Drosophila melanogaster: one gene and its partners. The protein of the gene in region 1 interacts with the protein of each later gene in a pairwise test. Each region holds a gene or a part of one and is shown in the gene's direction. Other genes may lie near its edges. The genes, in order: deltaCOP, CG6972, a and Cpr47Ef.

What was found.
Region 2: the proteins of deltaCOP (region 1) and CG6972 interact in a two-hybrid assay, tested with the Drosophila melanogaster proteins (one large-scale study listed by BioGRID).
Region 3: the proteins of deltaCOP (region 1) and a interact in a two-hybrid assay, tested with the Drosophila melanogaster proteins (one large-scale study listed by BioGRID).
Region 4: the proteins of deltaCOP (region 1) and Cpr47Ef interact in a two-hybrid assay, tested with the Drosophila melanogaster proteins (one large-scale study listed by BioGRID).

Annotation. Positions count from the first base shown.
Region 1 is NC_004354.4:1,858,625-1,863,525, reverse strand, and holds deltaCOP (coat protein (coatomer) delta), read left to right. Parts: upstream 1-1,735; 5' UTR 1,736-1,928; coding exon 1,929-1,931; intron 1,932-2,040; coding exon 2,041-2,080; intron 2,081-2,146; coding exon 2,147-2,370; intron 2,371-2,427; coding exon 2,428-2,840; intron 2,841-2,901; coding exon 2,902-3,099; intron 3,100-3,155; coding exon 3,156-3,469; intron 3,470-3,543; coding exon 3,544-3,655; intron 3,656-3,712; coding exon 3,713-4,007; 3' UTR 4,008-4,385; downstream 4,386-4,901. Other genes in the region: Gcna (germ cell nuclear acidic peptidase), read left to right, coding at 1-499, 566-823, 883-1,198; Lamtor5 (late endosomal/lysosomal adaptor, MAPK and MTOR activator 5), read left to right, coding at 4,624-4,658, 4,729-4,790, 4,848-4,901.
Region 2 is NT_033777.3:22,700,229-22,704,880, forward strand, and holds CG6972 (uncharacterized protein), read left to right. Parts: upstream 1-1,778; 5' UTR 1,779-2,062; intron 2,063-2,690; 5' UTR 2,691-2,697; coding exon 2,698-2,811; intron 2,812-3,025; coding exon 3,026-3,364; intron 3,365-3,423; coding exon 3,424-3,624; intron 3,625-3,680; coding exon 3,681-3,797; intron 3,798-3,864; coding exon 3,865-3,984; 3' UTR 3,985-4,110; downstream 4,111-4,652. Other genes in the region: CCAP (crustacean cardioactive peptide), read right to left, coding at 530-822, 876-939, 1,141-1,251; CG13842 (uncharacterized protein), read right to left, coding at 4,123-4,259, 4,315-4,652.
Region 3 is NT_033778.4:22,135,010-22,140,011, forward strand, and holds the start of a (arc), read left to right. Parts: upstream 1-1,958; 5' UTR 1,959-2,199; intron 2,200-2,423; exon of another isoform or gene 2,424-2,990; 5' UTR 2,991-3,242; intron 3,243-3,885; exon of another isoform or gene 3,886-3,932; coding exon of another isoform or gene 3,933-4,256; exon of another isoform or gene 4,257-4,286; intron 4,287-4,925; exon of another isoform or gene 4,926-5,002. Other genes in the region: CG11269 (uncharacterized protein), read left to right, coding at 3,933-4,256.
Region 4 is NT_033778.4:11,266,574-11,274,568, reverse strand, and holds Cpr47Ef (cuticular protein 47Ef), read left to right. Parts: upstream 1-1,993; 5' UTR 1,994-2,177; coding exon 2,178-2,192; intron 2,193-4,298; coding exon 4,299-5,019; intron 5,020-5,083; coding exon 5,084-5,209; intron 5,210-5,288; coding exon 5,289-5,327; intron 5,328-5,415; coding exon 5,416-5,448; intron 5,449-5,503; coding exon 5,504-5,569; intron 5,570-5,661; coding exon 5,662-5,766; intron 5,767-5,828; coding exon 5,829-5,861; intron 5,862-5,916; coding exon 5,917-5,973; intron 5,974-6,029; coding exon 6,030-6,170; intron 6,171-6,227; coding exon 6,228-6,284; intron 6,285-6,340; coding exon 6,341-6,373; intron 6,374-6,433; coding exon 6,434-6,490; intron 6,491-6,549; coding exon 6,550-6,582; intron 6,583-6,705; coding exon 6,706-6,771; intron 6,772-6,856; coding exon 6,857-6,901; intron 6,902-7,267; coding exon 7,268-7,479; 3' UTR 7,480-7,654; downstream 7,655-7,995. Other genes in the region: TpnC47D (troponin C at 47D), read left to right, coding at 427-455; Cpr47Ee (cuticular protein 47Ee), read right to left, coding at 7,799-7,995.

The DNA of each region.
Region 1 (4,901 bases):
ACATGCTGGATGAACTGGAGAGCGACTACCTACCCGGGACTCCAGTCCACAGGAGAGTGCAGGAGGTAAAGAAGAAGCTTGGCATTGGGCAGCAAGGTCAGACAACGCCCCACGAGAGCCCAATTCTCAAGTTGCTTACGCCAAAAACGGCTCCGCCTAAAGGCACTGCTCCGCCCAAAACATCTGCACCGCCAAAAGTTTCTACCCCCCCAAAATCCACTAAGCAGATTCCAAAACCTAGGAAGCAGAAGGATCTCTCACCCGTTGCGAGCGGCGGCAAGTGCGGCTTTCTGAAATCCCTGGAGGGACAAGTGAGCCGCGATAGGGCGGACAACGAGGCCTTCTTCTATCGGGAAAACTTCGCAAGAAATAAGGATCAGCTGGCCCAGCATCTTTACAAGATGTATAACGCCCAGGTGTTCAACAACGAGCTGGATGTGCCCATCACCTGGTCCAAATTGCTGCGCAACACTGCCGGCCGGTGCATGAACAAGCGCAAGTGGGTGATTCTTATAGAGACAACCAGATATCCTCCTTGAATTCGATAAATATATATTGTTTGCAGACTTAACCAGCGTAGCAGCGTGGTGGAACTGAGCGTCAAAGTGCTGACTACCGCGGACCGCCTGCGTTGCACCTTGATACACGAACTCTGCCATGCTGCGGCCTGGGTATTCAATGGCGAGGGTGGACACGGACGGGTGTGGAAGATGTGGGCACAAAGAGCCAACGACAAGTTCCCCGATCTCCCGCAGATCAAGGTCTGCCACAACTATAGCATTGAATTCAAGTATACCTACAAGTGCCTGAGCTGCGACAAAGCGTAAGTTCTCCCAAGTGATAAAAAGAATATTATTGTCATGCAGTTTTTACGCATCACAGGTCACATGCCCATTCCCGATCCCGCAAGGTGGAAGATTTGCGCTGCAGGATCTGCCGGGGACCCATCACCCTCTTCCTGAACAAAAAGGACAAGCAAGGAAACACCGTATCCACGCCGGCGGGCGAGGCGAAGGGATTTGCTAAGTTCGTTAAGGACAACTTCCAGAGACACAAGCGCGACAACATGACTGCCGCACAGGTGATGCGCATCCTGAGCGTGGAGTACGCCAAGCAGAAGGGTCAGCCGGCGGAGGAGACAGCGGCGTCGATCGCCAGCCGAGTGGAAACGCTGACACTGGACGAGTCGTCCAACTAGCTGGGTTCTCTTTTGAGTTTTGTTAAATTATGTGCTCCAAGCCCTAAACCATTTTTGGTATATCATAGACAATTTGAAAAACTTAACTGAGATCTCAGTTCGTGCGAAGTAGTAGAAGTAGTATATTTTGTTTAATGTATTATATATTTTCTTAACCAGAAACATGGTTTCCATTAAAATTAAACGGACATTTAAAAGCTAGTGCTGTAAAGCTCGATTTTGCATAGCCGGTGTCGGCCGGCGGTGTTGGTAAAGGCGATGCTTGGACTCATTACTTACAGTGAAAGAGTATGTCTGTTTATGTATGTTAATATATGCCTAATACAACCTATTAAATAATTGCTTTGCACAATCTTGAAATGTTAAATTCTACACTGGTGAAAAGTGAGTAGTGCGGTGTACTTGCTAAGGCTAGACACAACAATTTTCTAGATGGAGTAGCAAAAAAAAAAAAAAAAAATGGCAGGGTATCCACGGGCCTACCTCCTACCTTGGCCCAAGGCGTATTAACACTGTGTTTCCGCAGTGGCGCTGGTCACACTACCCGAACTCACACAAAGCCACGGTAAACATTTGTCGCAGAACCGAACACGTCAGCTACGGGGATTGATTGTTAAACAACGTTTCTATCGCCCCGCAAATCCGATCCGTAGCAGCAGTCCATCCTGCGCCGTCCGCATCCGATCCGCGAAGTATTTTCCAGGGCAAAAACGTCAAACGCAGCAGCAAAATGGTAAGAGCCCCGACCTACGCACGCACACACCTACACGTCGGCGATTTTGGGTCTCATCGGCGGGGGTTATTGCATTCCGGTATTATCACTAAACCTATCCGACTTGCAGGTATTAATTGCTGCGGCTGTCTGCACGAAGAATGGCAAAGGTAAGTGGCTTGCATGCACCGCAAGAAATAATCACTTTAGCTAACCCGTAACGTTTGTACACGCAGTGATTCTGTCACGTCAGTTCGTCGAGATGACGAAGGCACGCATCGAGGGACTGCTGGCTGCCTTTCCCAAGCTGATGACTGCTGGCAAGCAGCACACTTACGTGGAGACGGACTCCGTGCGCTACGTCTACCAGCCGATGGAGAAACTATATATGCTGCTCATCACCACTAAGGCCAGCAACATTCTGGAGGATCTGGAGACCCTGCGCCTCTTCTCGAAAGTGGTGAGTTGCACACGGATGTACTCAAGCCGCAGTGTTAATCAGGCCCATCGCTTGCAGATTCCCGAGTACAGCCACTCGCTCGACGAGAAGGAGATTGTGGAGAATGCCTTCAATCTGATCTTCGCATTTGACGAGATCGTGGCACTCGGCTACAGGGAGAGCGTCAACTTGGCCCAGATCAAGACCTTCGTGGAGATGGACTCACATGAGGAGAAGGTCTACCAGGCAGTGCGTCAGACGCAGGAGCGTGATGCGCGCCAGAAGATGCGCGAGAAGGCCAAGGAACTGCAGCGGCAGCGCATGGAGGCCAGCAAACGGGGTGGTCCCTCCCTGGGTGGCATTGGCAGCCGCAGCGGCGGCTTTAGCGCCGACGGAATTGGCAGTAGCGGCGTGAGCAGCAGTTCCGGTGCCTCCAGCGCCAACACCGGCATCACCTCCATCGATGTGGACACCAAATCCAAGGCGGCTGCGTAAGTTCTTTCTCTGCTCTATTAAATCTAGGCTCCTGACTCATTGCTCTGATTTCATCAGCAGTAAACCAGCTTCCCGCAATGCCCTCAAGCTAGGTGGCAAGTCCAAGGACGTCGATAGTTTCGTGGATCAGCTGAAGAACGAGGGCGAGAAGATTGCCAATCTGGCACCGGCGGCGCCCGCTGGAGGTTCCAGTGCTGCAGCTAGCGCCAGTGCAGCGGCCAAGGCAGCTATCGCGTCGGACATTCACAAAGAGAGGTGGGTTTCAGCTCGATTGTATAGTTAGTTATTAAATGCATAACATCTATTTTCAGCGTACATCTGAAGATTGAGGACAAGCTAGTAGTGCGTCTGGGACGCGATGGTGGCGTGCAGCAGTTCGAGAACTCGGGCCTCCTGACGTTGCGCATTACGGACGAGGCCTACGGACGCATTTTGCTGAAGCTGTCTCCCAACCACACACAGGGCCTGCAGTTGCAGACCCACCCCAACGTGGACAAGGAGCTGTTCAAGTCGCGCACTACCATCGGACTAAAGAACTTGGGCAAGCCGTTTCCCCTTAACACCGATGTGGGTGTGCTCAAGTGGCGCTTCGTCTCGCAGGACGAGTCGGCAGTCCCGCTGACCAGTAAGTTCATCCAAACCCAAACAACTTCTTCCCTCTCGCTCAGCCACGTGCTTGTGTTTCTCCCTTTTTCCCAGTTAACTGCTGGCCATCGGATAATGGAGAGGGTGGATGCGATGTTAACATTGAGTATGAACTGGAGGCGCAGCAGCTAGAGCTGCAGGACGTGGCCATTGTCATTCCCTTGCCGTAAGTGTAGTAATGGCGTAGATGTGCAGGCGATTACTTATTCCATTTCACCCTTAGAATGAATGTGCAGCCTTCGGTGGCGGAGTACGACGGCACCTACAACTACGATTCACGCAAGCATGTGCTCCAGTGGCACATTCCAATAATCGATGCCGCCAACAAGTCCGGTTCTATGGAGTTCAGCTGCAGTGCCTCCATTCCCGGTGACTTCTTCCCCTTGCAGGTGTCCTTCGTCTCGAAAACGCCGTATGCGGGCGTCGTGGCCCAGGATGTGGTGCAGGTGGACAGCGAGGCGGCGGTCAAGTATTCAAGCGAGTCCATTCTGTTCGTGGAAAAGTACGAGATCGTGTAGGCCGCGCCGCTGGCCACGCCCACCTAAGTAGTACATAAATATACATAATTTCCCGGGGTCATCCGATGCGATGCAATTAATTCAACTGCTGCAGCATGTTGAGAATTATTTTTCCATGTGCGAACTTTACATATTTATGGCGCAGACAGCTTCTCAGAGCGAGTAATTGATTCCAAAAAAAAAAAAAAAAACACCATCAAAGCCAATTAATTAAACTAATTTTGTGCACTCCGCTGCGCTGCATATAACGGTATCAAATAAATTAATTGCAATTAGTTGTAACTGGCGATTGCAGTGTTTTGTTTTGTGTGCTTCGTCGCACCCCTTCGATTTGAGTAATTTGTATGTAGATTGCTATGAATAAACCATATACAATATACACCAAAGTGGATTGTTTCTGGATTCTTAACTATAAGCGAAGGTTATCCCTTTTTTTTAAACTAAAAACTAAATATTAAATTTGAGTCACTTTTTTTTGCAAGTAGTACCCACTGTGCATGGATTCTTAACGCCCGGCTTATTGGTATTGCCGTCTTCTCGGCGAGCGGTCACACTGGTCATTGTTTTGGTTCTGTTCTTGCTTTGTTTTTTCACTGCGGAAATAACGACGTCGTCCATGGAGCAGCAACTGGAGAAAGTCCTAGCGGAAATGTAGGCACACTCGATCCGTCGATTCCAGATAGTACTCCAAATAAACCACAAATCCATAACGTATTTTCAGCGCCGCACGGCAGGACACAGTGGGAGCTCTGCTGGCCAATCGCCAGGGATTGTGTTTGGGCAGTGAGTATCGATGATTAGTCAGTGGCCGTGCCGTAATGCCACAATACATTTTTGCAGCCAAAGGAGACATTGATCCGAACGTGTCCGGCATCGGAATGGCCATTTCCGAGC
Region 2 (4,652 bases), on another chromosome or scaffold:
CATAGTTTCTTGTTATAATAATGTTACTTTTAACTCGCTCTCTATTTATAGGTATTATGTAAATTATAAAGTTGAAATGAATATGTGTGTTTTGTTAATTTATTTGCTAAAGTTGCCTAGGTGCAATCCATCTGTTTGCTGTTGAAATACCTTTTATGATTGTCCTTATCGTTATCATAAGTATGCAATGATACGAGAACCAACTGCGATTACCAATTACTAATGTCACCAAGAGATAGCATAGGGTAACATATTGTATATTCAGTGTGGTAAAAATAATGAACTTTCTAAACCGTTTTCTATAATCAGATGTATTACCAATAAATACAATAGACCAGAAAACAACAAAAAGTGAGGTCAACAATTTTTATTGAATGCAATGCCAGTGCTGTGGAATTCTTCACAATTCAAGGAGTCATGGATAAAGATAGTATGTACAATAACAAAAGCAGTGTGCTAACCGTCCAGTCAATTTGCTTTCCAGAAATCCGACTATTCCGATAATTCCGATTTATCCGATTATTTCGATTTATTTGCTTTCGCGCTCCTCCAATTGCTGCATCTCCTTTTCATTTTGCAACATTTTCTGTTTGTTCTTTTGCCGAAAGATTTCCTTGCTGGCTTCTTTGATGGCCTCGAAGATTTTGGCCTGCGACATGATTTGCTTTTGAACATTTTCCACAGCTGGCTCGGCATTGATATCGATCAAATCACTTAGACCTTCGGATAAATACTCATTGTTATAGGGTTTCTCTTCGACTTCGTTGCGTTTGAATAGCGAGAATGGCGGATACGAGGGATACGTACGCTTTCGTCCACAGCCTGTAAATCGTCCGGATTGTAATGGATATTATTATATATTGTATTAAAATTACCTGTAAATGCATTGCAAAACGGTCGCTTCTCGTACTTCCATTGTATAACGCCACTTAGCTTGTGCTGCAAATAAGACGATAAATTATATTTATATCAAAACTAATCAGGTAACAACTATTTAATTAGGTATGTAAATGAACGTTAAACAATGCGTCGCGTTATCAACTTAGATTATAACTCCGCTTAACTAATTTAACGAATTTCACAATTTACTTCCACTTTCTGTTGGGTCTTAATGAAATAGTTAATCCATTGATAACTCACATTTGCCATATTGGTGCCCTCGTTGTTCTCCCTTTCCAGCGAAGCCTGAGAGCAAATGGCACAAGCCAGGAGTGCAAGCAGCCTCAGGGAAATCCTCATGGACGTTCTCATTGCAGGAGTGTGTTTTTTTTAATAAGGATCCACTTAGCAACCGACGCGCTTAACACTCGAAAGCCAAATGAAAGTGGCCGCAGCTTGGGCCTTGGTCAACATCTCGGCTACGCAATGTGAGACTTGTTGCTTTCAGAAGGCGACAGGACCACCAGCTGGGCCTGGAATGTATTTTGGTTGCCACTTAATGGCTTTTTGTGTTTTTCCCGACCTTTCCCAGCCGGGTCGCCCCCGCACATTAACATTGCATTGACGTGTGAAGGATGGTCCTTGCCCTTGCCGAGTGTAATAAAAACCACTGCAAATTCAATTTGAAACGCAACTTGGGCAGGCTTAAAGTGGGCGAAAATCCCCCGCAATTGTCACTAATTTCGTTCAGTGCAGCTGCATTGGCCATAATTCGCTCGCGAGCGAACTGAGGCGTTTGTATCTATTTATAAAGACCCGATCCGATCGGATATATCCGAAAGAACACACTCACAGATCGCTCCTACGCGCTTGAGTGTGCATTTTCCGAAACTTTTCCTCACACTTCCACTAGACTTTTCCGAACAAACAGAGGCAATTTCGAGGCGACTCTCTGCCAAAACGGTTCGCGTGCTACTCGAATCTCTGGAATTCAATGAAAAGTTCTACAAAAGTTGCATGATCTGGAAAATAAATAACCATATATTCATTTTCGGAATTTTGAATAAACAACTGATACCATTTGTGCCCTAGTTGATTTTTAAATTGTGATTTCTTCGCGACTTTCCCACGATTTGGTGTCGAAAGTGTAGGAATTTCTGTGTCACTTCTACTAAAATAGCATGTGAGTAATTTGGAAATCTATAAATTATGCATATTAATTGGGAATATCTCAACATTTTATTTGATTATAATTACCAATTTCTGTCGGTTGAGGCCGGAAAAAAGTCGTTTATATCACATTGCATGCAATTTCGTGTTGCCAGTTGAGAATCTTCTGTACCTTGTTTTTGTCTACGTAAAGTAAAAAACTAAAAATACCACGGCTATTTTGAGTTTTCCTCAGTTTTACTGTCACACTTCGGTTTGACAACTTTTCCCCTACCCAATGGTGTCGCCGGCAACCGCTTTTCTTTTTTTTCCTTTTCATTTCCCAGCGCTTCTCTGCTGTTAATTAAGTTAAATGCTTTTCCGCCTTTTTTGTTTATATGAAACATCAAATTCCTCACATATTTCTACTGCCGAAATTGTAAACATTTCAGCACGCCTGATTGGCAATTTGTGCTGAAAATTACAACATTATCGCAGGCGGATCGTAAAAAATAATATCGAATAAAAAGTGAAAATCCTTTGCAATTTAATGGCTCTTGCGCAGCGAAAGTTTGTTGTGGTCCCATGCGAATGCATGTTCATTTAATTTTGACTATACAATTTATTTTATTATTATAATTTCCTCATGCGGCTATTAATAGACCAGAGATGTCAGAGCCCGCAGCCCAACAACAGCAGTCCCAGAACGGCAAGGAGCGCTCCAAGTCCACGGAGGAGAAGGAAGTACCACGCGAACCGGCGCTGGTCCTCAAAGACATCGATGTAAGTCCAAAGACTAGGAAGCTGTATCCAAGTACCAAAAAAAAAACCAACAAAAATGTTTTCTTATATACACAATTACAAACTGGCTGATTTGTTTGTAAACAATTAGATGCACTTTTGAAAATTGCAGTAAATCTGTGACTTATATTATCTAATGCCGAATCATCGCTAAATGCATCATATATCTTATCCTTTCCACTTCCACTTCCCACAGATAAAGACTGAGCTAGAGAGCCTAGTGAAACTGCTCGATGGCAAGATCTACAAGGAGGAGGAAGTGGCCATGGAGGAGCTGCATCAGTATCTGATCGAGGACGATGGCTCCTGGGCGCTGGGCGACAACTTTCTGATCTTCGTGCAGCGCGTCCTGCGTGACAATCAGGCCTTCTCGCCGGACACACGGATACACCTGATCCGCACGCTGGCCTATGCGGCGCTCAAAGATGATGTGATCATCATTCTGCACCAGGATCGAAGGGATCACACACTGATGAACTACGCCCAGGACATTGACAAGCAGACGCCCGAGGAGCAGCAGGCCTGGGCCATGTTTGTAGGTCCCGCAATGGGAGAATGAATATATAAGTTTGCTATATATTCAATATGTTTCAGATGTGCAATCTCTTTGAGAACCTGGGTCCCTCCGAATGGCTGTTGTACATTTCGGAGTGGGAATACAATGGTCAGACCATCTCCAACATACGAGTGACCACCAAGGTGGCCGTCCACTGCATCCTCTCCAATTGCCCGCAGCTGAAAAATATTGGCAGCATGATCCTGTACAACATTGCTATTAAGGAAGTGAAGACTGTGGTATGTGGTATGCAAAGTATTGGAAAATATCGTAGATACAAGATATATATCTGCAGGTATTCGACGATATCGCCGTGGAGCTGGCCATGGCCATTCTTCAGTTCTTCCAGAGCAGTCCCAACGAAGACCAAATCTTCCGCACCCTGAGGGCCCTCGTTCGATTCCTCGAGGTAGTGACCTATATTCGGGGTAGCCCAAATTGACAGCTGTCAAATATTCGAATATTTTGCTATTTTTCAGGTCTCGCAAGACGTACCGATGATCATTCAAATGATTGGACCGCATCCAAAACAATTCGCCGGCAAGAGCGAGCGCGTGGATGAGCTGATAAAGATCATTAGTCGCAAGGTGCCCGCCTAAAGGGAGATTTCCACATAAGAGAATAACCATAACCATAGTTACCCTTTTTCTAATATATATTATAATATATTCTAGACCCTCACTTTTGTAAAGCATTTTAGCGGCTCAATAAACATTTGTACCCCCTGACGAGGTCATCTACATGCCAATATCGCCGCAGCAAAGTTTCAGGAACGGAAATCCATTGCCTCCACTGGCTCTCAGTTGCAGCCAGTGTTTCTGATTGGAGACGAACATCTCCGAAGGCAGCTGTGTGTCCTGGGCAGAGGCATCCTCTACAAGGAGACCAGAAAAACATAGGATCCACATAGATATTCAAACACAACTTACGCGCCTTTTTGTCGTATTTCGGCGACTGGGTGATGGAGATCACATCCTCTGGCTTTCGAAGCAATATCTTGCCCACACCCTTGCACATGCGCAGCACCTCGTGGTTGCTCAGCTTATCCAGCTGCTCCTCATCCAACAGACTGCAGGCCAGAATCCACTCACGCACATCGTCGAAATCGTTGAGCAACCGAACCGCTCCGTTTACACTGAAGCGAATGCGCTTCTGGTAGATAAAGTCCAGCCAGGCCTCACAAATCAGCTTCAGGATCAGCTTGAGTATGACAATGTCCTTGGTGGCACGTATGGTGGGCAGATAGATCTCGTCCAGCACATAGCCC
Region 3 (5,002 bases), on another chromosome or scaffold:
AATGCTCTTAATAACTACATATGAATGTATATATTATTACCTTTGCATTATTGTAAGGTAAGAAAGAAAACACTTTTGGTCAAGTAAGAACTATCTGTTAATTATTAGTATTTTTGATTTACTGGTAATGCATTGTTTTATAATACACTACTACCTACTACTACTTTCTGCGGATAAGTAGCAACGCGCGCTATTTACTCTTTCCTAGCAGCAAATGAAAGCCCAACGATGAGGTCGCTTATGTGGACAGGTGCAGTGGCCAGGTAAATTCAGGTGTGTGCGTGTGTTTGCCTCCGTTTTCATATGCCGTCCGTCTGTTTTTCGAATGCAGCCCATACCGATAGCCATACCAATACCCCTGCCAACTCCCATAACCAGGCCCAAACCCAGACCCAAAGCATATCCATAGCCCCCGACTTCTGTGCCTAAACGAACAGTTATGCAAATCGAGAAGAGGCGCACCTCCTCCCCCAACGTCGCCCCGCCCCCTGCTTTATCACTCGAGGGGTTTACTTTACTTTTTTGTTTCTCTGTGTATTTAGCGCCTAATACCCAAGTTTATGTCGCTTAATTATAGACCTTAAACAGCCGCCGCGAACAGTTGGCTTAACATGCTAATCGCCAGACTCGGGGGCTAACCCCTTTTCCCATCCTGACGGCGGTGGCGGGGTATCGAATGACCTTCTTCTGATCTGAGACGCCACTTGTTGATCGATAGTATGGAAACTCTAGTAGCTTGGGAGCGGAAATCCGCGATGCGAAAACGAAAACTTTTGTTAGCCCAATCTGGTAATCGATAGTTCGCTTCGATCCCACATCAAACGCCGGCCTTTTAGAGCCAAACTATTAAGCGGATTTGGCCAATTCGGTAGCGGACAGATTGGAACAGAATCGCTCGGAGATCTGCTTTTAATAAGGCTTAAATAGCTCTGAGCGAGCACGATTAATTCGCCATAAAAGTGAGGCTTTAATTGGCTGACGAGTGGGAAGCATTAACTAAGGAAAGTGTTTTTGCCCAAAGAGCAAAGAATATGAATAGACTTTGGTAGTTACACTGCTAGGAATCACGAATACTTATATGTATCTTTGATGCGCCTTATTTTGTTCATGTTTGATTTGGCAAATTACTATAGATTAAGTGATTGCATTTATATATGGAAAATATAATCTTAATTTATTGATTTCTAGTTCTATTTTCGTTTTGCTGCCGTATGTACATTGTAAAGTTTTTCTACTGACATTGAAAGATAAGAGTGAAAACACTTTGCCCTTTTGCACTAAATTTGAATGCCAAACGGACTGCATTCAGAAGTATCCACCCGAAACAATGGGTGGGCGTTTTTCAAGTGGGTGGTTTTCCAGTGGGTGGTGCGCCAGTGGGTAGTAGTTGTCCTTCACATGCCCGCTTACCTTTACCTATGACATTAAGCGAAGCAAATTGAGTGACTGACTCGATTAAGGCACTTGGTCAGTGCATTTACTTACTGTACTACTTGATTACTAAGTGCACTCATAATGCATGCAATTTAAATCATAATTGAAATAATTATCGTAGAACGAGAAATAATATTTAAAGAGAATGGTAATAACTAAGAAAATTAAAAAAAAGTTACTTTATCTGATGAAGGATGAAAAAAAGAAAAAAAAATTTAAGTTCTTACTTATTGTTTATAATTATAATCATTACAATTATATTAAACAATAAATTATAATAATAATTATTAATATATTATTAATTATATGTTAATTCTAATTATAAATAAGTTAAAAATAAAAATGCAATTAGTGAAAGAAAGAGGTATAACAAGAGCTTAAAATTTTACCTTTCTCTTTTCAGATTTTATGCTTTGGTGCTCTTCTCTTAAAATTTGTGTTTTGGAGAGACTCGTTCTCATCTCTCGTTGAGCGACGCGAGCGAGAGAGGCAAACTATTTAAGCCACATCGCAAGGCAACTCGTGTTCAATCTTTGTTTTCGTAGCGCGGCGGTCGCATCGGAGTCGAGAACTCGAAGTGAAGGTGCACGAAGAATTCGATAAATACAATTAAATAGTTTTGAATATATTGCGGTGATTTTTGGATTTGCATACCGGTTTTCGAGAAGCGAATTCGTAAAAACATGTTATGTTTAAATATCGAGAAGTGTCCCAAAGTGCGAAACAAACCGATTTAACAACAAATGCCCAAAGCGAATCACAAACGTGAGAGAAACAATAAATATATAAAGTGAATTATTATAGCATAAAATGAATTATTCTCTTATCAGTGTGTACATTATATTTTCATAAAGCACAAATAAAATTCAGTGAAGACATTAACAAATTCAAGCTAAAAGTTAAACTGAAAGCTAAACACTTTTTTTTGTTGAAATTGCAATTTTTTTTATTATAAATGTTTGTACTGATAATTGCGCTTACAACAAAAACGAATACACAAATCAAAGCAAGTGTCTGTGTGATTGTAAAGAAGAATGTGCTAAGCAAATAAGGCAAATAACAACCATATAACTGTAACTGAAATCCCACACTGAGAAAATAATCAGCGAAGAATAATATTTTGACATCCGTCTCTTGAAATATAAGATCAAACTTTAGGTTAATACTCATTAGAAATATATCAATAAGCTATGAAATATCATTTAAATAAAAATGTAGTGATCTTATTTTCATTTTTCTTCGTGCTCTCATAAGACAAGTTGATTGATTTGCGCAAAGGGAATTCGAGACACTTAAGATATTACCAAGTTCAGTGAGCAACCGCCCTAATGTCAAGGTCTTTCGCTTGGGGATCGGGTTTTAACCTAATGGACTTGACCCCCATTTTCTGTGGCTGTACGAAATCCGCAGCTTAAGTTACCAGCAAAACATATTTACTCAATTAGAGCTGACACCTATTATGTCTCAAGTTGCAACACGTGGTGCAATAAGTAAAAAATATTTTATCAATTCTGTTTAATTTTCCTAATTTTTGATTTCTCTCTAATCGTGTCTAGTAACCCATAAAACTAACGACAATTCGCATAAACAAACATAATAAAGGAAACGTTAGTAAAACAACAGAGTGTAAAAAAGGTTTAGCAACCGCGAAAACGACTTACGAATTTTCACAACAACTTGATGTTTTGTAACGGAGTTTCAAGAAACTAGTAAAAACTTTATTGTGAATTCTTCTGCTGCTTCTTCTTTGCAAGTGTGGCAAAAATTTTGTTGCTCTGCGGATTTATCGAGAACATCAACCACTCACGGTAAGTTGTGCTAATTATTGCTTAAACTTATTTAGTTGGCTATTTTTATTGCAATTTCTTGAGCATGATTCACAAGGGGAATTCAAATCAGAGGCTGCCCTTTAATGAATCAGCTACTTGGTTGGCATGGCCTACATTCAGTTCTCTAAAAATCACTTCTGATATATAAATACGCAGAACTAAATGCAGCCACTGATTTGAAATATCAAATATATTGCAGGTCTTCGTTCTGCATAAGCTTGATGTTCTGAAGTATATTGTATACATCGTTTTTTTGACGTGCTTTTCAAGTGTTAATAAGTTGAGCTGCTTCTATATCATACTCATATGTATGTGTGCAAATGATATATCTGTCAGTTGTCCATCATTGGCTAAGATCAAATCCGAATCTAAGCCATTTCGAGTTGAACAAACCCAATCGCAACGCCGCCGAAAGCGAGAGGCACGGGTACGTGAACTCCATATTCCGACCACTCTGATCTAATGCCGCTGAAATCGCACAAGGTTGTACTTGTGTACGAGCGTATGTAGATAGATGGATGAATAGTATGTGGTCCAATACATTCCGATTTCGATTTCGGATTCGGTTTCGCTTTCGAAGTCGGCTTAAACTTGGCACCTGTTGCGGTCAGAGCAACACTCGACTACACTGTCGCACAAAGTTCGCATAGAATTGAATCGAGCTTGAAAATGTTTTGTGGTCGCAAGTGCTGTCTGTTCTGCCTGTTCATGAGCGCCTGGGGCTTCTTGATGCTGAATCTGCTGGGTATCTTCTTCTACGTCCAGTCACTGATGCTCCTGGAGTCCCTGCCCTTGCCCCACCACTTCCCCAGTCAGGAGGCCTTCAAGGAGCAGGCGGACGAGGCCTACCAGGACGTGTCCACACGGTGCTTTGTAGCCGCCGTTTTCTATCTGGGATTCGTCTTCATTGCGATAGTGGCCATTCGTCGGGATAACAAGAGAAGGAAGCGACTCTACAAGCGGGGTCCCGGTCACTTGCGATTCCGTCGTTGATTTGTATGATTGGTTATTGAATAAACAATTTATTTTCATGGTTCCAATTGCATTTCACCCACTCAGCGACGTCCACCCACTTGTTGGTTCGAAAGATCGAAAGAACCAGTTTGTTGACCGCATTCTGCGATTAGCCTTAACTTCTTTATCGCCAAGCCACTTTTCGATTTCAAGTCTGGCTGACTGTTGTCCACTCCGCATTATGCATTCGTCTCGGACCAACCGATTTTTGACAGCGCACGTGACACCTTCACCGAGGTGTGTTCTCTTTTGGGCATCATAAATTTCCGTGAAATTCTCTTTCCGAAACATGCTAATGGGAATGGGGTGTGGGTTCCCAGTTCTGGCTATTCCCCCCCCTTTCACCTCTATACCGTAGTCTAGTCTACACCGGGGTTATGTATCTTGTTCTTATCGACCGAGCTTTTGTGTCTTACACGAAAACCGTTGTGTAAATTATCGTACACGATTTTCTAGTTGTACGCTTGTGTATCTGGCTTGTTATCACCACCAACCAAGTGCAGTCTGCTGAAAACTGGTTCACTGCATTTACTCATTTTTTCGGGAACTCGGGTTAACTGATTTGGAGATCTGGCAATACCTGGGAAATATTCTAAATTTCCTCCATGGATGGTCTTCTATATAATTGTGCCACCCGAGAGACCGTACAATTTCTTATGCAGATGTAGAATCGTATTTTTTACGAATCTATGAAACACACTCGTAGAAAAGTGGTTCAATTCAGA
Region 4 (7,995 bases), on another chromosome or scaffold:
GACCAATTAGCCGCCGTCAGTCGGGCTATAAAGATCTTGGATTCCTTGGCGCGCTGCCATGGTATTTTCCACACAAATTATATCAATTTGTTGCGGTGGAGAACCCCTACCCCTCCCCACTAACACCACCATCCCACCAACGAGGGGAGACGCCCTTGTGGTGCTTTATTTATAGTTCTTTAGATCTTTACACAGAAACAAGCAGATCACTTTGCCCCAGATTCTAAGGGGCATTTCACTATTCCTAAAACAAAATCCGTCCATATTTTCCGCCTTTTATAATTGTTCCGATTGGTGTACCAGTTTAAAAAGAAACAAATTTGTATTATGAGGTTTTGGTCCAATTTCCACTTGTATTAGTACACAAACCATATTTTAGTTATCAACAATAATAATAATTAATATTATTTTGTATTTAATTTCCAGAATTCATGGAGATGATGACTGGCGAGTAAGCATTGTGGACCCAACGTATCTCATAATTGTCTACCCCCCAACACCCGAGGCTTGAATAAACGTTTTGTATTTTATTTCTACGATTGAGTAATCATAATTACGCTATAAATAATCCGCTCGTTCAGGAACCGATTGAGTAGAAAAACCCAAAGCGCGGCAAACATTCTATGGCTGCAGTGCATCTGCATCCGAGTTGAGTCATCTTAATTGCCAATTGCCACCCTCTGGCGTGCGGATTATTATTAAATTTCAATGTTTGTGCAATGGGCTGGGAGTGGGCGTGGCCGCTCTGCTCATTTGTGTGTTAATTTGGCAAGGCCATTCGGCGTATGAGTGATGCATGTTGCGCATACGCAACGTGGCCAGATGCATGCGGAGTTCTTTGTTTCAATCTTTCCGCTATTACTTGCGGCAGTGCGTGCACATTCCGTTTGCCACTTGACTGGCGTTCTGGTCCGCACAGCTGTGACCATCCCAAGCAGAATAAGGCCCACTGACAACCTGCTAGATTTTTGCCTTTCCAAACAGCCAATGTAGTATATCATAGCTATGCATGCAGGCTGGCAAATGTCAATGAGCATTCTCCTTGTTGCCAAAAGATGTCAAGCATTTACGCTAAACTTGGCCGCCGCGACATGCAGTGAGTTTGTTTTCCCAAATTCAGCGAAAAGAAGCAACTGCCCTTTCTGAAAAGTTAGCGAAAAAAAAGGAGAAGGGGCTTGGGGCAGATCGATGTGGATGGGTTGGGGTTTGGATGTTGCCACCAAGTGGAGCAACTTGTTTTGCGCAATGCTTAGTCTTTCGGCCGGAGGGTGTCGATATTAGTGGTATTTATTACCGCTTCGAATCCAGTTTTCAGTTTTTACCCAATCATTAGGTGAAAGGTCACAGACTGGACCTGGACGCCCTGTGAAAGAGCTGAAAATGTGGCGGATTGTGTTGGGTGTCAGATTTATTGACATCCGCCTGGGCAGACTTCTCAATATGCGATTCTTGACACCGAGCGCATTAAAACGGTTTCCCAAACGTGCAATTCAATGGAGATGAAGCTGAATGATGATGATGCGCTCGAGCGTTGAGCGTTTCGATTGGATTCCAATTTACGAGCACCACCAGCAGCAGTTGCTTGCTTGCTAATTTTTACCCACTAACCGAGGAGAGATGTGGCTGAGAGCGTTTGTTTAACAAGACAAGGTACATTGAGTAAACGAGATGCCGCCGTTGAGACAATAGTCAAAATGCATGGGCTTGCGGATGAGGATGCGGGGGCACCACCACCTCCTCCTCCCTTTTTCGTGCGATTGTTTTCTGCCCCAGCTGGGGACGGAGCCTCAGCTAGCACCACCACCATCACCACCACAGCTGCACACGATTGCAATAAATGCCATAAAGTATCAAAATCTCAGCACTCGCTCAGCACCGAGCTCCAAGCTGCAAGCGGCAAGCTCCGGCTGCAGTTTTCGTTCATTCCATTCCATTTGATTGCATTTGGCGCCAAACCAAGTATAAAAGCTGGAGAACTTGGGCTGCGATCGGCACACAAGTACCGTGACATTCGAGGAGCCACAACACGACACGCGGAGGCACTGCATCGCTGGTGCGGCAAAGGACTTACGTGGATTAACCCAGCTTTGTGGATAAATTAAGCAGTGGATAAATTGTGGGTGCGCCAAGGATTCTTCTTCTTAATCCTCGATCGAAACAATCAAAAGATTGCTGTCATGGCTCTTAAGTGGGTAAGTTCAGTGAAAGAGGAAAGTAACTTTGGGTTAGAAAATTCAAAAGATCCAAGTGTTCTAATGAAGAGTCCTTTGAAACTCCATATGCTGTTGTGGTTAGAAATTATTGTAGAGCTTTACTAATTTTTCCCGAAAAGTATCCTTCTTGAGATAATGACCTAGATTCAAAAATATATTTCAATGTTTGAATATAATATTCATATTTATATTCATATTTTCCGTTTTTATTCTTTTCGGATTTTTTACATTCATTACATTTTTACATTTTACATTCGAATGCAAAGATCTTAATGCTTCAAATTTAATTAAATTGATTTCATTACCCAATTTAATTTAAATGAAAGTAAAGTTACGAATTTTACCTTAGAATAAAGACATTCAATTATTTTAGTCTAGGGAATTGTCTCATCAGAAATCTGTATTAAATTGGCATAGGAATATTCTTATTCATCAAGAGTTTATAACTTTTCAGGAAACTTTGATTTAGTTAATTATTTAATCTCAACTTGGCAACTCATAAAATTCCGCGAAAAAGAACATGCCTAAACAATAGGCCACTGGAGTGTCCCATCTTGGATATTTTAGCACAGCCAAGGGTTTCCCCATTGCACTTAGCATATCCGATTGTCTTGAAAAGATCGAGTAATCCCCGTGAAACGCATAAATTAACAGCCCATTTGCAATCGGAGATGGTGGATGGCACGCAAAGTTGCCCAAGATGGTTTGGTCGTGGCCGATCCGCCCCGCCTCCAAAGCAGATCATCGAAATGGAAGCAGTGGCGACCCAATTGGCAGCCCATTTGCAATAACCGCAATTATATTTGCGGTTGCGAAACGCTGTCGAAGATGTCTGCTAGGTGGTCACGAACTCCAAGAGGCTCTCACAGACTCCTCAAGATATTCCGGCCCAAGGGGCAGGCGTTGCTTGTTTCGGTTGCATGTGCCACAGTCGCCGGATGAGTCAGTGTGGCAAATGTCAGAATTTCCACAATATTACATTATTACACTGCCCGGCTGTGGCGACAAGTGAGCTCATCATCGTGCCAATCGATGGAGCTGTTAGGTTTATGGCCCAATGGAATTCGTAAACGGTTTAAACTTCAACTTGACACTCGCTGGTCCGCTCCGCTTAGCCAACCTTCCCAGCCAGCAATTCTCTGTGGCACTCTCGGTTCACACGCTGCTGCATCTTCAGACGTCTTCTGTCTAACAAGAAGTCCATAAATATCATAGTTCGCCTCAGGCTGAGACAATGATGAGCCAGCCCGATGTTGATACTATAGTCAAGAGTCCCCGCTGCACTTGCAGCCTTAATGGGCGACGACGATCGGTTGCAACAATGGAAAACGTGAGCGGATCGGATTGCGTCGTTCTGTCAATGGACAAATGCTTCATTGATGAAATGGCCGACATTTGGCCACACTCTTGACCCCTTTGGAGGTTCCCAGCGGCGGGGTCATGATACCCACTTGGCCGAGATGTGTATCAGGGCTTAATTAACAGCAGAAACAATTCAAGGTTCTTCTTGTAATTTGAAGTTTGGAAAAAGCTTATCGTTTATTTTTGGAACGAACCATTGCTGTTTAACTTAAAATACACATTTATTACAAATAATTACCAAAATGCTATCATGAGTAAAGTACAGTTGTAAAAAATGACATAATGTTAGTAAGACATTAAAAATCGTTTAAAAGTATTTCTTAATACGAATAATTCGAAAATAATAATTTTCAGACGCTTAACATTATTTTAAGTTTAAATACGTCCTTGTGCTCAAGCAACAAAAGTTTATTCGAATAACACTTTTTATGGCGGTCGTTAAATGACTATTTCATTACATTTAGCAGCCTTTTTTCATGTTATCTTCAGATTTATGAATTAGCCGCAGTTAATGAAGTTAAATTTTAAACAATTAGCCACCCCTGCGATTTTTCACTGGCATTTATTTTGCAATCAAATAAGTCAACACGCCAAAGATTCGCTTCAGGCCAAATTGAGAACGTGGATCGCGATGGAAGATGCTGGATTCGCATGAACTTTCCATGTGCTTGCATAAATTTGTGAACTTACCGGGCAATCCCTACCTGCAACGATCTTTTTCAGGCTCTGGTGATCACGACGCTGGTGGTTGCCCAAGCAGCCAAGCTGGATAACAAATACCTGCCCCCACCTGCAAGTGCGGCCAGTGCGGGCGGCAGTCCGGGAGCAGGGCTTCAGGGCCCAGGAGGTGGCTTCGGCGGAGGTGGAGGATTCGGTGGCGGCGGAGCGGGTGGAGGTTATGGAGGAGGCGGCGGTGGCGGACCAGCTGGCGGCTTCGGTGGAGGACCAGGCGGTGGCGGTGCTGGTGGCTTTGGTGGTGGTAATAACGGACTTGGTGGCTTCGCAAACGGAAGACCCATTGCACCTGGCGGCGGCGGCGGAGGCGGCGGAGCACCCGCTCCACGCCCCAGTCCGTCAGGTGGCGCGCCACCAACTTCTGGACCTCCCATTCCGATCCTCTCATTTGTCAACGAGAACGACGGCGATGGCAACTACCGTTTCAGCTACGAGACTGGAAATGGTATAAAGGCCCAGGAGGAGGGCACCGTTAAGAACAAGGGATCTGAGAATGAAATCCCATCCGTGATGGGCTCATACTCCTACACAAATCCCGAAGGTGAACTCGTCGAGATCATGTACACGGCGGATGAGAATGGCTTTGTGCCCTCGGGCAACGCCCTGCCCACTCCACCGCCCATTCCGGAAGCGATAGCCAAATCTCTGGCTGCCCAGGGCATCTCCATACTGCCGGGTGGTGGATACAGTGGCGGTCCTGGAGGACAGGGTAAGTTTCTACAAAATAAATCAATGGATTAACATTCCATTTCATTGCTCACTTTTGATTGCAGGAGCAGGTGGCGGCGGAGGCGGTGGTTCGGGATATGGAGGCGGATCCGGATTTGGAGGCGGCGGCGCAGGAGGAGGATCCGGTGGAGGCGGAGGTGGAGCAGGAGGTGGCGGTGGATATGGATCAGGTAAGATACGAATTCAAGTCACATTTTGACCCTTTTTCTTTTTTTAGTCTTTTTTGACTTTAACTTTGATTATTTTTAGGAGGCGGCAGTGGTCGTGGAGGAGCACCAGGAGGTCCAGGTAACGACTGATTTATTTATACAATTTTTAAAAATGTTAACCCCTATTAGATTAATTTAATACTTTATCGATTCGTTTGCTTCTTTAGGTGCGCCAGGTGGAGGCGGATTCGGAGGTCAAGGTAAGTTATGTTCCAACGGCTTACACATGGATCTAAAATACTATTTATTTTTTAGGAGGTGGAGGAGGCTATGGAGGAGCTGGTGGCGGAGCTGGTCGTGGTGGTTCCCCAGGAGGTCCTGGTAAGTCCTTTTTCTAGATGAAATTTATTGTTCCTAAAGAAAATCCGTCTTAATTCACTTCATGAATTTATATTTATTTTCATATATTTCAGGATCACCTGGCGGCGGCGGATTTGGTGGTCAAGGAGGTGCTGGCGGCGGTTATGGTGGTGGCGGCGGCGGAGGACGCGGCGGTGGCGGAGCACCAGGAGCTCCCGGTAAGTTAACGAAAAGTGTTACTCCATAGATACTCAAAACTAATAACTTACTTCAACTAAAGGATCACCTGGCGGTGGAGGTTTCGGAGGTCAAGGTAAGTGATCCCGCCTGACTTTGCGGTTCAAGTTAAAACTATATACACTTTCCAGGTGGAGGCGGAGGATTCGGAGGTGGCGGCGGACGCGGCGGTGCTCCTGGCGCTCCCGGTGAGTTCATGATTTCATTCACTTTATATAATAGATAACACATTGCTTATTTTCAGGATCACCAGGCGGAGGCGGATATGGTGGCCAGGGAGGTGCTGGCGGCGGCTATGGAGGCGGCGGCGGTCGCGGTGGTGGTGGAGCACCAGGTGCGCCAGGAGCACCAGGATCCCCAGGTGGTGGCGGATTCGGAGGTCAAGGTAAGGGATTTTAAAACTTACTGCACATTCACCTCGAATAATACATTCATCTTGTAGGAGGTGGTGGCGGATTCGGAGGAGGTGGTGGTCGTGGAGGTGCCCCAGGAGCTCCAGGTGAGTACAAAACATAAATTGTTTGTTACTGAAAATAAGGAATTATTAATTAATAGGATCGCCTGGTGGAGGAGGATTTGGCGGTCAAGGTTAGTTAGCAAAACAATATTCCAGTTGCAGGTCTTAAGTAAAACATCTTCATCTTGTAGGTGGGGGTGGCGGATACGGAGGCGGCGCCGGTCGTGGTGGTGCTCCTGGAGCTCCTGGTAAGTCGATTTTAATATCTGCCTAGTGGCTTTAAAAACATACCATTCGTGTTTCGCAGGCTCTCCCGGAGGAGGAGGATTCGGAGGCCAAGGTTAGTAACTTAGTAACAGTACACTGTGCATTCCACAAAACTTACGAAATTCTTCAAGTTTCCGACTACTTGTTAAACTGTGTTATAAATATTATAATAATTAAAGTAATATTTATTTTTTAGGAGGTGGTGGTGGCTTTGGCGCCGGCGGTGGTCGCGGTGGAGCTGGAGGAGCACCCGGTGGACCCGGTGAGTAACATTGGTTTTTGTGATGAAGAGGTCACTCTCCCAATTTGTCACAACATATAGATGGTATTTACATTTTTTAATGTAGGATCTCCAGGCGGTCCAGGTTATGGAGGAGGTGCCGGTGGACCGGGTAAGAAGCATTATAGTTATAAACCCGGTTTTACAATCTGTGTGATTGCAATTGTAAAACTTGAATTAGCCTCATTCATCTTCATGAGAAAATGATGTGAAGAGCTACACTAGACAAGTGCTATTCCCACACATTTCAGTTTTTTTATTTTGACAATTCTTGTTTGGCAAAGCCTTGGTCTATTGTTTTACCCACGATCGACTAACGATCTTTCATGCATAAAACATTTCGGCTTGCACGCGGTCTCTTTGAAGTCGCTAGATTATAATAATTTTAAAGACTGCTTTAAATAATTACAACTAATCAAAGAGGGTTTACATAAATTTAATGCCACTCTAATCGCGATTGTTTCCATTTTTTATCTAGGAGGCGCCGGTGGACGTCCAGGCGGACCAGGATTGCCCGGCAATCAGTATGTTCCACCAGCGGCTGGTGGCGGAGCACCCGGCTCGCCAGGCAGACCAGGATCGGGAGGAGTTCCCGGCACAGGATCACAGTACATTCCACCTGCTCCGGGAGCGCCGGGCGGAGGTCGTGGAAACGGAGAGTTCAATCCTCAGACGGGCTATAGCTACTAAAATCAGAATTTATTCCAAAACGCCAATCAAATCTCTCAAATCGAAGAAACGTCATTTCCGTGCAGGCTGCCCTCAATGTTCTTTCGCTAAAACAATTAATTTATTTATATAAGCTTACCTCCCTCTTCCACTCTGACAATGTGTGTGTGCAACTATCGAAATAAATGATTATTATAAAATATTTGCTTATCATTTTGCGCCGCGTAAGCTGCGGAAATTGAAACAAACTGCTTGACTTTTCAGATGCATGTATTTCATGCCTTTGAGTTGCGACTACATCTTCAAACTAATCAATCATTTAAATGACATTAATTTGTCGTTATTTCTTTGGGGACTTCTTGAAGCGTCTGCCGTACTGATTATAGCCATATGGATCCACCAGGTTGTTCGGTCTGCCCCTCAGTTGTTGGGTGATTAGGGCCTGTTGCTGCTGCTCGTTTTGCTGCTCCTTCTGCTGCTGTTGCTGCTGCTGCTGTTGTTGCTGCTGCTGCTGCTGTTGCTGGTTGAGATTCTGCT